Linked DNA regions of Lepisosteus oculatus. The protein of the gene in region 1 interacts with the protein of each later gene in a pairwise test. Links are inferred from orthologs where the notes say so. Each region holds a gene or a part of one and is shown on either strand. Other genes may lie near its edges.

Region 1 (7,246 bases):
TCACCACAAATGGATTTTTCTTGGTTGTTCTACATGTAGGTGTACTTCGTACTGTACCGTGACTGCGTTGTGTGTCCGCCTTCTTACTTAGCAGTTCCTTGTAGATGTTAATGTTGTCCTGCAGCAGCAGAATCAGTCCTACCATGCTGTACTGTAAACACCGTGCGTGTGGTCACACTGCACAGTGGCAAGCCATTCTCTGCAGCTGTTGCTCTGACCTGCTGCTCTCCTGTTTGTAGATGTCGATGATGTTCTCCACCAGCAGATTCCTCTGCAGCCCGTAGACCCCGTGCCGGTCCAGGACCACCTCGTGACGACATGATGGACACCGGAAACGGCCTCCCGAAATATTAGTACCACGGGACGTCCAGTACGGGTTTGCAGCCTGGAACAACCAAAAATGTGGAATCAGCAAGCCAGTAGGGGAGCATCTCGTGGGCATTAAATGTCAAGGCAAAGTGGTCCCATTGCCGATACTTGCTGGCAGGCACAGGCAAGGTGTGTCTCATTAGAATATTCAGTATGTCAAGGGACGTTCTAATGGTAAGGCACTGCAGTCCCAATATCCTTCTGTTTCTCCAGTCACTGGTTTCTACACAAAGAATGGGACTCTGTTGTTAATTAACAACACTTCTAGTTTCTTGGAAAGGGATCACAAATAAAATTCCATTATTATCATTATTAAAAATAAACTTGGTGGTTCTGGCTCTGAGTTACAACCATGGTTGCTGTAGATGAACACTGAAAATGGATCATGTCATGATGCTGAGAGACACAAAGCAGGTTAACACTGAATTTTAATAGGCACAGCAATTTTAATAGGCGCCTTGCGCTATGCTCGTCTGTCAATGTGCTACCCCACTTTAAGTCAGCTGTGTACAAGGAGCTCTTCTCAGGGCTTGGTACTGTCACCACTCCTCCCAGTGGGAGTCAATTGCTACAGTGGCTACAGCCAGCAAAGTGATCTACTCCCTCCATCTGCAGCAAACAGCAAGTGTTTACAAGCTTACTGTAACCATACCAGCGTTCTATTTTTGGGTTAATAGAAATGCTTGGGGTTAATGTGACCACAAGCCCAGAAAAACACTGGGAAAGTCAGTCATTCTGCCATAATCTGTTTTTATATACCACCTTTCAAGATCTCTTTATGAATGAACAAAACATTCTAAATTCAAATCTAACTCTAACTGTAGAGTATGTTCAAATAAAAAAAATAAATTAGTGAATACAGAAGTTTATTATTTTTATTTTTGTCTTATATGCAATACTGATTAGAGTATTGATAGCACTGACACTGTAGTAGTCAAACCTTGGTCAGTATCATAAGGTATTTCCCATTATAAACAGCCATTTATAGCTTATTTATAGCTAATACTTATTTAATTATCCTTATTTATAGCTAATACTAGCTAGATACTACCTTTGATAGCTTATACTAATCTTACTATCTTTGCAACCTTTTCCCAAAAACTGTACAGTAACTATCTGTTATAATGAGAGCTTAACTGATTATGCTGTTTAGGTCTTTAAAACATCAAAAGGAAAACCTATGTTTGATTTATGGTATAACTCTGTAATCCTTTGCATTTGTCATGTCACTATGAACTGGACTAAAAAACCGAGATGCTGAATATAAATCATATAAGTGTGGATTTCAAATTGAAAGCCAGCTTGTTTTACATGGTCAGGTTTACACAAGCATCTTAAGGGGAGAAGATGAGACTGATTTTAAAACAACAATTGTGGGAACAATGTGTATTTCAACTGATTGGAGTGCCTGCGACATAACAGCATTGCATTTTTACATGCAAGATCTTACATGAATATTAGCTATAAATCAGCTCCAATATGTCTTCTGTTGCTTATATCATACCCTCAATTAAAATCTTAAACTTTTTCTCAAATAGAACTATTCATGGAAAAGATACAATATTAAATCAAACAGACATTTCAACACACCACAGAAATAGACCCATGTAGTCCTTGATGACCTGCTTTAACAGCTTTTGTTCTCTCCACCTAGTCTCTTGTCCTTCCATGGATAAGGTGAATGGCTCATTCCAGGACATCAGTCATTTTATTATTCTAGCTGAAAGACTACAGAAACAAAGCACACTGTATCCTAAGACAACCTTTGCGTTCTGTTCAGCGTGAATGGTAACACGTTTGGCAAGCCAAAGGCTAGACTATCTTTCTCTAAGGCAATCCTGGAATTACTTTGCATGAGAATTCTGGTTCTATTTTGGTGGCTATGACCCGCATTGCCAATCTTACAAATGACCACATAAAAAAATCTGCTTCTTGCATTGTCCAGTTTTTGCAGACAGCCTTTGGACAAATAGAACGAACTACCCAAGCCAGTAATTGAAACTTTGACTCGTCTTCTTCTGCATGAAAAAGATTCCTTAAGAGCTAAATTAAAGTGTGTCCTTAATGTTAGAAATAATAGATTAAACCATTGCATGGAATTACACTGGGTTCTGATTTCAGTATTTAAATCACCTTTTCCTGACAAATAATTTTCACAGGATAGATGCATAGCTAGGTAGCAGAAAGTTTGAGCAACAGCATGAGTAAATAAAAATAAGTGACTAGAAATTGATGTTTCTCTACATTCTTACTGCAAAGACTGAAATTCTGGTCTCCAAGCACTGAGGTACATAGCTCACCTGAAACACATCATTGGCACATTTTCGACACAGGTTGTGTTGGCAAGGCAGAATGACCACAGGCTTGGAGAAGATCTCCAGGCAAATGGGGCAGATCAACTGCTTCTCCAGGTTCTCCATCCTGTTGGACTCCTGGATGATGCTCGATTGGAAATCCATGTCCTTAGATTTATAGTTGTTTAAACAGCTTCTTGGCCTTTATTCACACTCTTTTCCGGGAAAAGAAAGAAGCTCCTTTTTGTTATAACTCCTCTGTCTTTCCGAATCATTGCAGGCATGTGGAGAGTTTTGCCTATCACCCAGCGTCAGGCTCTATTTATACCCCTGGATGGAGTCACTTGATCCCAGCCCTGCTCCTGTGCATTCCTGGGGTCTGATAGCTAGCCTAGAAAAATCAGCTCTCTGCCTGTCCTTATCACATGCTGCCCTGAGGAATGCCTCTGCAGGATATCTCTCGTAGAACCCCTTAAAGGGATAGATTACAATAAATCTGGTCATTTTCCCTGTAGTTGGCTTATTTCACACACTGCTGTGTACAGTATGTTCTTAATGATTCTACAGGGTCTCGAAGAAAGCTCCTACTGTTTTGTTTTGTATTTATTGCTTATTCTGAGTAAATCATGTTAGTTTGCATTTATTAACAATATCTTACCAATACTTTTGTGAACCTATGAATATGGTACAAGATTGTTTCTTCTTTAATGTAGAAACATTTACAATAGAATATGTGCACCATCCACTGTGAGAATGTGTCACTCTTGACATGAAGGCCTTGTCAAGTAGTTGCATACAACAGGTCTTCTATAAAGCCAAATACAACTCCTCATTTGCACATGCATTCCTGTTTGCTTTGTCTGGGTTGGACACCCAATAAAAAACAGTTACACTTACTTGAATCTCGAGAATATGCAGGCTGAAAACAACCAACACTGTATAATCTTGAATTGAAATGATCTAATTCTCAAAAGTCTTAATCAACAGTTGACAAAAGGGGGCAAAATTAAAACTGGGCCAAATTAATCTGTGAAACAAATAGAGAAACAACACTTTTCCTGCCCTATCCCTAACCCAAGCCAGGGTTTAGAATGAGCAAATCTGCAATCTGTCTCTAAAGCCCTCAAATTATCAGATTTTAAAATGTTTCAGAAACCAACAGATATGAGGAAAAAATCAAAACTACTGAAAAAAGCTCTTGGAAATTTATCATCTTTAAGACTCCTTTAGACACATTTTTCAATCAGCTGTGAAACACTAAAAATGGTCTTCAAGATGATTGTGCATTTCAGGCTAGATTAGGGTTAGGGTAACAAGAACCCCTTAAAAGTTGACAGCAGTTAAACATTTATTTGCACTTTGACAAAATTAAGAGAGTTTAAACAGTAGAACAAGTTTTTTTACAACTTTTGATCTGGGTCACCATTGCAATACACTTACTGAACACTGTACAACATGAGTAGCCAAAACTCTCCAAAAAAAGAAGAGCAAATTATCAGCACTGAGCATAAAAAATGTGTATGTAGTGTACGAATGCTAACCCTAACCCTAGCCAGGGTCCGAGTTAGCAATTCTGTAATCTGTCTCTGAAGCCCTCAAATCAACAGATTGGAAAATGTTCCTCAAACCAATTAATATTAGAAAAAATAATCAAAACCACAGAAAAAAGCTTGTGGAAATGTTTCTTCTTGAAGACTGTATCTTCTTTAGGCAAATTTTCAATCAGCTGAAAAACGCTATTACAATAGTATTTAAACAATTGTGCATTTTAAGCCAGAGTAGGGTTAGGGTTACAAGAACTATTTAATATTGACTGGAGTTATAATTTTAGTTGCATTTTAAACAACAAAATGTTTTCTTACAACTTTATATTTGACTCACTTTTGGAATAGATACCGAACACTGTAATAAACAATATGAGCAGGCAAAAATCTTTGAAGATAGGATCAAATTATCAGTCGTCCTAAATTTCACCTAAGCCCCCAAATCCAGCGGTGATCGTAAAATATGTGTAAGTTCTGTGGGAATGCTACCCCTAACCAAATCCTGCAGATTTGAAAATGTTACTCAAATCAATAAATATATGTCTAAAAGCATTAAAACCACTGAAAAACGCGCTTGGAAATTTACCGTATCTTCTTTAGGTAAATTTTCAGATAAAAAAACGCTGGCATTTCAGGACAGAGTAGGGTTAGGTGAATAGAGTTATGGTCTATCCTAGCAAAGCAAAAGATGCAAGTCAGGATACACATCACAACCAATTTTCTCACTAGTCAGAAATTCATCAGTCCCATCCATCTTCAAACCTCTTCATCCAATTCAGGGTCGCAACGGAGCTAGTGCCTGTCACGCCAAGCAACTGGTGCAAGGCAGGATACACCCTGAATGGGATGCCAGTCCCTTGCAGGGCACACATAGACACAAACACCCACACACATTCACGCCAGGACCAATTTTCCTTAGAGCCAGTTACTCAACCAGTATGTTTTTGGACTGGGTGGAAATCAGAGCACCCAGAGGAAACCCACAGAAACATAGGGAGAACACATGGTGAACATGCAAACTCCACACAGAAAGCACTCCAGATCAAGCCCCAGCACCGTGAGGCCGTAATGCCAACCACTGCTAAGTGGGACATCTGAACATATTGAGCTAAAATAACAGGATGGAGTTACTCTAGTGCACAAAACTGTTGATCAGCATGACTAAGACAAACAAGTCAGACGATTCTATTTTGTATCAAAATACAGCAGAGACAGTGGTTTCTAGGGAAGAGGAGATAATAAAAGCAGTTCTGCCTGTATGAAAAGGGGGTCACAGCATATGCATCCGAAGCCGATTGTTACTTACTGTACAAGTCTGCTCATGCAGTCTCGAGACCTTTGGCTCAATTTCCTGCCCATAGTGTCAGCCAGGCTAAGCTATTTCTGGCCCTCCCACAGACTGTAAACTCATAACAAGAATAACAGGTTGGCAGTGTCATGAGTATTGAATTTTACTGTCATAGCACAGAAAATATAAAATGGAACTTTCAGTTGTAATACAGTGAAAGAACAACAAGCAAACTACAAAAACTTTCTATGCACATATACAGTTGGTGGTAGAATAAATACTAGGTGTTCTATCAATCGCCTTTTTAAAATGGTAAAACATTAACAGGAAAACTTTCAAAACATTTTATTCCAGTGCAAAATGTGTTTCTCTCCCTATTTGAGTTTATTTAAACTTCCAAAGCTACATTTAAAAAAAAAAACATAATATTTTACACATATTGCCTCTGGTCTATCTGGTATCATCATATGTTCAGTATGTTAGGATTTAGAGTTCTTTTAGAGCAAAAAACATCAATCCCCCTGTTAGTTTATTATAAAGCAACAGAAACTCACTTTCTTGAGTGGAATTTAGCTAGGACATTTGTTAAACACATCTACACCTATGAACAGTGGCATGACCTTGTAGTCAGTACAGGTACCTTTAACGCCTCATCCAAAAGACTGTTCCTCTTGTGTGACCTGTCACCATACTAGAGCATTGGTTCAGAGGGAAGCATGTTGCATACTGGTACACCACCACCACTTATAGCTGCAACTTCTTCCTTGCAGGTCTTCCATCTGAGTACTGACAAGACCCAACCTTGCTAAGCTTCTGATGTGAGGAGATATCAAGCTAAATACTGGTAACGTTGTCTATTGATGTTATGGGCCCAAGGAGCTTCAGTTGTATTACTGTGTATCATTCACGTGCTGAAACAGAGGGATGCCAGATCACCAGTTCAAATATCATTAAAATGCAAACCCACTCTCATAACATGAGCATAAAAGTACTTTATTAAACACAGGAAATGGCAGTATATACATACATGTAATAGCACCTTTTGCCTACCCGGGCTTTTGTGCAACGTAGGCTGTTGTAAAGTACAGAGGACATATGTAGTTCATGAAAATTCAATGCTTCGTTCCCCGCTGGAACAATTTTTCTTAGAGAGCAGCCATTTGTTTTTTTTACAAAAGACTTTACATAACATTTATTACAAGAAATATCATATCACGGTTGACACATTTTTCAGACCTGAGATCCATGCAAGATAAAGGAGAAATTACAAAATATTTTTTTTTTATCAGCTGTCCAGAATTCTAAATAAAAAACATACATCTGGTACACCTGTGGCTGGTACTCTTCCAACAGAAGGTCTGTTATTTACTGTAGTCCTGATGGGCGCACACCTCTTTTCCAGTTTGTTTTTAATAGCGGTATTGTGCTTCTATACTCTCAACTTGACATTCTTTGCATAAAAAATCCTATTATTACTATTTCCAGATTTTTGACGTGGCCACTGAGACTGAGTCACAGCTAAAAGCCGACACCATGTCACACTGCACTGCAGGCTGCAACCAGTCTGAAGCTTTGGTGTGGATCTGAAGCTTTGCTCTATAGTCTGTACCACTGTGACCTCTTGATGTTAACGGGAAAATGATTTTTTTCATTCATCAAAAAGCAAAGAATAGAATAACACAACAGTAGATTTTATAGGAGAATAAACCTCAGGGGAAGCATGATGAAACAAATGTGTACAGGTCAAAGTT
Region 2 (7,426 bases), about 3.2 Mb from region 1:
AGTCATTATTGTCGATAAAATGGAAGGAAAACACTGTTAGTGCTGTTAGTGGATGTCTGGGACAAGATCCGATCCTCCTGTCCCCAGGATGGAGAGGGGCGCTGTGTCTTACCCCTGCTGGATGGGCTGCAGCTGCAGGATGACCTGTGTCTTGGTGCTGTCAGCGGGGTCTGCCCCCTCTCCTGCCGCCTTCACCACCACCACGTCGCCCATGGAGACCGTCACCTCCGTGTTCGCCATGGCTGCCTGGCCGAGTCGCAGGGCCCTGCGGGGACAGTGACAGGACTCGCTTGGTGAAACCCACCCATCTCCCCAGCAAGCACCTACCGGCGCAGCTCAGTGTGCAGAGTTCCAGGCCTACATGCCGTCAAGGAACTACAAAAGGCAGGGAATGGATCAGCATTACAACGCCGGCAACCTATTCTGTCCCAGTCAGATGCCAAGATACTGGGCAAGGCCTTTTTTCCTCAAGACTGGACTACTGTAGTAGTCCAAGAACACTTAATCGTGCACTACACTTCATAGTGCACTACGAACAGACTTCAGCATGTTCGAAATGAAAGCACACTTAGAAGAAAAAGAAGTTATTTCAAAATAATTTATTCACAGTACTCCTTTGGTGGTTTGTCAGATTCAGATGTAAAAGGTGACACTGGGGTGTTGTGTGACTGAACAGGTTAGAATGTAAGTTTATTCAGTGCTGTTAATTTCCACACTAGAACGGTAAGCTCCATGGCAACAGCTCTTTTTCAGCTTAGCAGTTTATCAGAAAATTACTTTTGGCTCTTATGTGCACCAAATTCCCTGCTACTAAGATGAACTGAAAAGTTCATCTCTTGTTCTGGAGTTCATCACTACTCACAGAAACAAGACAAATTGGGGGCCTTTCGTCGGTTACATTCAAACCCTCTTTTGTAAAATAAAATATTGTATTGTAATAAAGACTTATATTTTATAAATTTCTAGGTTTTTAACTAGTATTCCCTGCAATTCCCTATGATTGATGCTTGTATTATATCTATTAAGCTACCAACTGCAGTTAATATATATATAGGCTAACGTGATATATTCAAAGAAGCCAAATGAATTACATAAATGGCATCACTATCTCCCCCTACTCCCCCTATTAAAGCCTCGTTTCAATTTAGTTTTCAAATCAAAGCACAAAAAGACAGCATTCCAAGAACTCAAACAGGCAGGTAGCCTGCATACTATGTAAGACAGTATTACAGTTTCATAAATGGAGACATTACTGAACTGCTTATAGCATCTTTTCCACTTCATTAATTTTAAACGATTTACCAAGACATTGTCTTTCTACATTAAACATAATAATAATAATAATTGCTTACGCTTATATAGCGCTTTTCTGGATACTCCACTCAAAGTGCTTTACAGGTTTTTCCTGTTTTTCCCAGGAGGTCCCCCATCCAGGTACTGACCAGGCTCACACTGCTGAGTTTCAGTGGGCTGCCAGCTGTGAGTTGCAGGGTGATATGGCTGCTGGCCATATCTTATGATCTTATGATCTTTAAAAGACTTTACAACCTGTTCTTTTAAACCCTGACCATTTACACTTTCCAGTCGAGCACATAAAGAATCGTAACATATAACAGTTCTTTTGCAGGGACAGGAATTAGGAGACCAATATACATGGGCTGAAGCCTCTGTTTATTAAAAAAAATAGTTGTAGTGACCAGCGAGCACTCTCTTAACTTCTGTTGTTATTAAAGCCAAATGTCCAGAGCAGAACGCTCCAAGCAACATAACACGTTTTGACCTCCTGCCAAGTTCAGCAACTGAGCCCAGCCAGCCAGACCAGACTCAGAGGGCAACAGGTGACAAGATCAACGAAAGGAAAAATACAAGTGAAATTTATTATCCCACCACAGCTGTGTGAATCTGGCTTAACTCCTAAACACTACCAATCCTCCCTTGGAATGCCTTATCCCTCCTCCAGCATAAGACACCGTGCTAACTTGCTAAATTCAAGACCGGGCTTGCTAACCGTGGGCTACGCCAATACGAATTGCAGCGTGTAACATAAAAGGCACAGATTTCAAAAATCGACAGCGAGTTTTTTCGAAAAAAAGGGAGGGGACTCCAGTTACTTTCAAATTACGTGACTTTGTTGCTTTTTGTTTTGAAAAACAGGCAACGTCTCCCACGCAGCGCACCAAAACAGCCGGTCTTTTGTGCAACGACGCGCTCGCTGCTCGCTGCTCGCTGCTCACCTCCTCTCTCTCTCTTTTTTTGTTTTTTGTTGCTTTAACCCAGACATTGCTCGCGTTTATCTGCGCCCGGGCCGTGTGGGTTAGTCAACGCTGCCCTCCTCTGCGCCAAGATCCCCATGTGAGAGAGAGAGAGAGGTGGTGGTGGGGGAGAGACTGTTCCTGTTGCACAGCAAATGGGCGAGAAAGGCAGACGAGCACAATCCCTCCCCTCGTCCTGCTACACTGTACAATGTAACACTACCAACAAAGGTTAACAACGCACGGCGCGCTGCCTGTCTGGCCCCGGCCGCCAACGTGCCTCCGTCTTTCTTCTCCCTCTCTCTCTCCCTCCGCTCCCCCTCTAACTGACGTCTCCCGGTGCGGCGGCACGTACACTAACAACAAGCGCCGCGGCGACGGCGTTGCTCCGCTCCAAACGGCCGTCCGCGCCGCTCCCGGGGCATTACCCCCGCACAGACCCCCTTCCCCGCCCTCCCCCGGCGCCCCCTTCCCCCGCAGCCGCCTCCTCGCACCCCGCTGCAGGCGGCGGGGCCGCGTTTACTCGACCCTCGGTGTCTTTTCTTACCGTTTTACAGCTGCGAACACATCCCCGGAGCTTCCAGGAGAGCCCTTTGAGCATGCGCCGTGCCGCTCGGCTACACTTCCTGCTCCGAAGGCAGGGAGCAGCGCCTGGCTGTGCACCATCTGTCCCTCCGACAGCCGCCGCGCTGGGCGGCTCGGGCGGGCGTGAAGTTTGCAAAAATAGACCGCATTAGCACATTGGATGCCCACAAAGGTATCGTGGCTTGCGAAACGCCAGACAGGCACACATGGCCTTGGGAAAATGTGCGTCAAGTCATTATGTTTTATGCAATAGCTAGTTATTCATTACGGTCGTTTTATTTGCAGCTGACGAGCCGTACTGTGGAGATCACTCAATATCTTATACAACCGCGCATATGTTGCCAGTGCCTGTTGTTATTCGCGTTCAATTTTAAGTATTAAGTTAGCATTGATCTCTCTCTTACGTAAAGTTAGACAGGTAAAGTAATACTAATCCTAATCGATATTTTTTCCTTTCGATATAGCGTGAGATGAGCCCAACTCAGTTCCGTCTGTCGGAACTCTGAGGTTTCGCTGTGGATTATTTCATTTTAATCCTGCCTGAGACGAGACTGCTTGTACCTTAACTATATGTGAACACTATTGTCAAGCTTTGCATTCTGTCGTGATTAGTAATCGTTTTCCGATTAAAAACGGTGAATGTACTGGTTTTCAAATAAAATATGATCAATCCTTCCGCCAGATGTCAGGCTTTTTCAACGAATGCTGTTTAGGCATCAACAGGAGTACACGTACGTTTTTAAGGATATTTTATCATTAAAGTATATCAGTGGTGTTCTCTAGTCTGCTGAATTAAAGGCATGCAATTAGAATGCTGTTTAATGCTTTTCACACTGTTGCTTTTATTGAATTTTTAGTGGGACTCGGGTTTTGCTCTTGGATAAAAAATTTGGCATCAATTTCCATTTTCTTCCAGGAGGTGCTTCCAGTAACAAAGTTTGACCTGACACGTTAGTAAAGCACTAAGCATAGCAATCTTTTGAGCACTGGTCAAATCATATTCAATAGCACTTTATCCTGATAGAACCGTGTTCATTCAGGCATGCAGAACAATCTACACACAAAGAACGCCTTCCTGTGACTACAAATAGTTGCACCCTCATCAATGTTTAACACAGATTTATTAAATGGAAGTAATACTATTTGTAATTTACTCATTTAAGACACCGTGAGCACTCAATTTTACAACCGTGGAGTATCCGTGAGAGGCGTACACCTGTCATTAATTCGTATCATTACAGTGTTAGAACTGGTAAGTTCAGCCAGTTTATTACGGGCCAAAACTGTTCAGACAAAAAGTGGTATGGACCCAGAATGACAAGATTGTATTATTAGTTTTGCTATCAGTTTAACAAAATTCCTCCTATTATAGGTGCACATCGATTTTGCATGCGTCCAAATTATACAAACTTTCAACCATTATTCCAGCTTTTGAGGGACAATTTTTATCCGCTAGCCGCATTGATAAAGGGGCCGGCTCACAGCACTTGTCTGACCTCTGACACAGAGGTCTTAGCTCTAGCGTGTGGGCTATTTACAGAAAGAAGACAGTCCTATCTACAGTACAGCAGGGCAGTTATTCACTACTGGCAACAGAAGATGAACAATAATATTATTTGCATTCAAATTCAGAAGAAAGCAGGTCTTCGGAATGTGAGCGTACAAGAGGCTGTCGAGCTTTAGGAATAATATTTGTATTAGTTCAGTTGGGTAGCTGCGTCAGCATGCGTAGGCTGTAAAGGAACAAGTAATAGGTTTATTCCATGCTGAAAAAAGAAGAAAACACAATTGTTCATATTTCTATTATGTATCTACGTTAATTAAGTCACGGTGTTATGTAGTTAAATCACCCAATAAACTCGATTCTACCATAAAATGTTAAAGAAAAGCAACCGCTAAGCCGGGATAGTGAAGTTCATTGAGAAGCAATACATTACACTGCAGGATAAGAGCGATAATTTTCACAGAGTGAGCAACAAGTGTTTGTCTAGATTTCTGATCAAACTGTTCTCAAGAGTCCAGGGAGGGAGAGAGGGGGGCTTGAGGATCTGCTCAGCAATGACTGTTTTCTAAACGCATGCTGCCCCCGCATCCCTCGGAGACTAATTATCCATGATGTCACTAAAAAAAACGGGGGAATAATTTGTAACACAGCAAAATTCCCGCAGAGGCTCGACCTTATTTGGACAAGGGTTCTTGGAACTGGGCTGCCTGACTGGCGTCGTCCCCAGCCAATCCCGGAGCGCTAGCTGCGCGCTCGGCCAATGGAAAGTAGTCAGCGCCTCGGTTGTTTGATTTGTGTCAAGTAAAGTTGCAACCTGGCTTGTATTAAAGAATAAACTGTAACTGATGGCTGATTTGCAGGGGTCGCGGTGTTGGAGATAGCTCATCTACACCATGTATGCGACACCTGGAAGCGTTTTGGACACTGTCGATTTTGTAACCGGATTTTTGCTGATTTTATTTGTTGAAACTCAGGGAATTCACGGGCAAGAAGGTAAGTCGTTTTTTTTTTTGACGTTCCTATCACTCGATTTTTACATTCAAATGGTCAGCAAACAGGTCAAGACTAAACCAGGCATTTATTTTTCTTCCTTTCTCCCGAAGCGTCTTTCAAACCCTGAAAGTACCGTGTTTTATCCTGTCGGGGTCAGCTCTGTGGGAAGTGCAGTTAAACTGTACTGTTAATGAATAACTGCTTCTCGGATACTGGGTTTGTTCGACACTAACATATGATTTCTGTTGTAGTCTATACTGTTCAGACAATTTTCATTGCGTCCAAGTACAAAAAAATAAGAAAAACTGTGTTAAAATAGCAAAGCGACAACAGCCCTTTCGCTGTCCGAGAATAATTTTACAGACGGTTCTCACTGTTCAGGAGAATTAGTAAAGGGAGTAAAATAAGCACCACGAGTTTGATATTCTGCAGAAGCACAGTGTTTATCTGAGCTGTAAATTATCATGCGTCGCTGAGGTGAGGACAAATACACCTGCCCGCACTGCGTGCACTCTGGGGAGGAATCTAAATTGTAGTTTGGAAAGGATGAACAACAGTACATACTGTACAGTACAGTTCACCACCAAGAATGTCTGTAGATCGCGAATGGTTCTCCTAGCGCTTTTGTTTTTTTCCCCATTGATTGCTTTATTAATTATTCTGTAGGGATTTGTAATGGCCTACCTGGCTCATACAAACAATATATATCAATGACTTCTTCTGAGCATCGGAGACGATGCAGAGCAGTTGAATATTGTTTCACCAGTACATAAACTGATTAGTATTGCCAATTAACATAAAGCTTTGTCAATCAAAACAGTTACAGTTACTGCCATCAAGGGCTAAGAGCAATATAATGTCGTATCGCTGTTTTGCTAAGAATACGAGCTGCAAAAAGAAATAAAAATGCAAAACGAAAAAGCAGTAGGACGCGCAAGAGTGTAGCCAAATAACTATTCTAGTGCTTCACAACACGCCGCTTGGAATTCTCTGGTTTTGACAAGGAATATCACTAGATTTTGTAAGATCTTCTAAAAACGACAAAGATACGCGCGTATTGATTTGAAGTGATGCACAATTCACTCCTTAACACATCGTTCGGTGCAATGTTAATCAAATATATCAGGTTATAATTACGAAACAAAAATACTAATATTTAATATAGGTTGAACTGGATATATGGCGCATTTGTAGGACTCGATCTATTGTATGCAGCAATTATGAATCGCGCATTCTGTATATATTAGATCATTGTTCATACACCTCATCATAATGCATTGCATAATTTTTGGGGATTCGTTTTTTTATTCCGTCAACATTTGTAGTCCTTTCATTTTTTCACCTTAAGTAATTTATGGGGGAAAACCCTTAAAACTATTATTTTTATGATGCGTTTCCTTTACTACGCAAGAGAGTGGTTGTAGAAATTAAGAATGATTTTCATGCTTTCAGTACAGTTGTGGCTGAGCTCTGACTGTAAAATCTCGCAGAAATTATGGATAGGACCTTGTGTGACTAATACATTCAAAAAGAATTGGGTGCTAAGTGCACCCACAAAATCTGTTGTGCCAAATTTGATGTGAGCAAAATTAGTCAGCTCGCATGTTAAAAAAAACAAGTTTGATTAGACAGTTACCTTATTGTAATATAGGTGCTTTTATAGTAATCGGTTGTTTTACCTTAACATTCATTGGTTGTTTTGGCCTGTTAAAAGAAATGGTATTGAATGATTAAACTTCCGGTGAGGTGAAGCAGACTTATTACACTGTAAACACGCTGGCTTGTGAATACATCTCTTTTAATCCATATAACAATATTGCTCTCAACCTCAAGACAGTTTTGCCGACAAATGCTACTCACTTGTTACCTCTGGGTGCAGATCACTAGGAACACTTATGCAGTGAAATGTCAGGTGCACAACCTGAACTTCTTCACTGGTACATCACATTACATTAGTCATTACAGTGACTAGTGAGCAGGAAGGGCTGCTTCATGCAATTCATACAGTTCACATTATATTCTTGCTCTTGCCTGTAGCCAGACCAGGAGTTCACAAGTTTGTGTTTAATTCAGAATTTGTAAAATTTTGCGA

What was found. The genes of interacting proteins can lie anywhere in the genome.
Region 2: the proteins of E3 ubiquitin-protein ligase TRIM63 (region 1) and gmeb1 interact in a two-hybrid assay, tested with the Homo sapiens proteins (2 studies listed by BioGRID and IntAct). The link is inferred for Lepisosteus oculatus from reciprocal best matches to the Homo sapiens genes TRIM63 and GMEB1.

What each region holds. Positions count from the first base shown.
Region 1 is NC_090706.1:9,007,950-9,015,195, reverse strand, and holds the start of E3 ubiquitin-protein ligase TRIM63, read right to left. Parts: upstream 3,004-7,246; 5' UTR 2,829-3,003; coding exon 2,670-2,828; intron 386-2,669; coding exon 219-385; intron 1-218. UniProt on the Homo sapiens protein: E3 ubiquitin ligase. Mediates the ubiquitination and subsequent proteasomal degradation of CKM, GMEB1 and HIBADH.
Region 2 is NC_090706.1:5,832,328-5,839,753, reverse strand, and holds the start of gmeb1 (glucocorticoid modulatory element-binding protein 1), read right to left. Parts: upstream 3,004-7,426; 5' UTR 2,919-3,003; coding exon 2,800-2,918; intron 2,681-2,799; exon of another isoform or gene 2,608-2,680; intron 2,436-2,607; exon of another isoform or gene 1,353-2,435; intron 266-1,352; coding exon 113-265; intron 1-112. Other genes in the region: discoidin, CUB and LCCL domain-containing protein 1, read left to right, coding at 5,235-5,334. UniProt on the Homo sapiens protein: Trans-acting factor that binds to glucocorticoid modulatory elements (GME) present in the TAT (tyrosine aminotransferase) promoter and increases sensitivity to low concentrations of glucocorticoids. Also binds to the transferrin receptor promoter.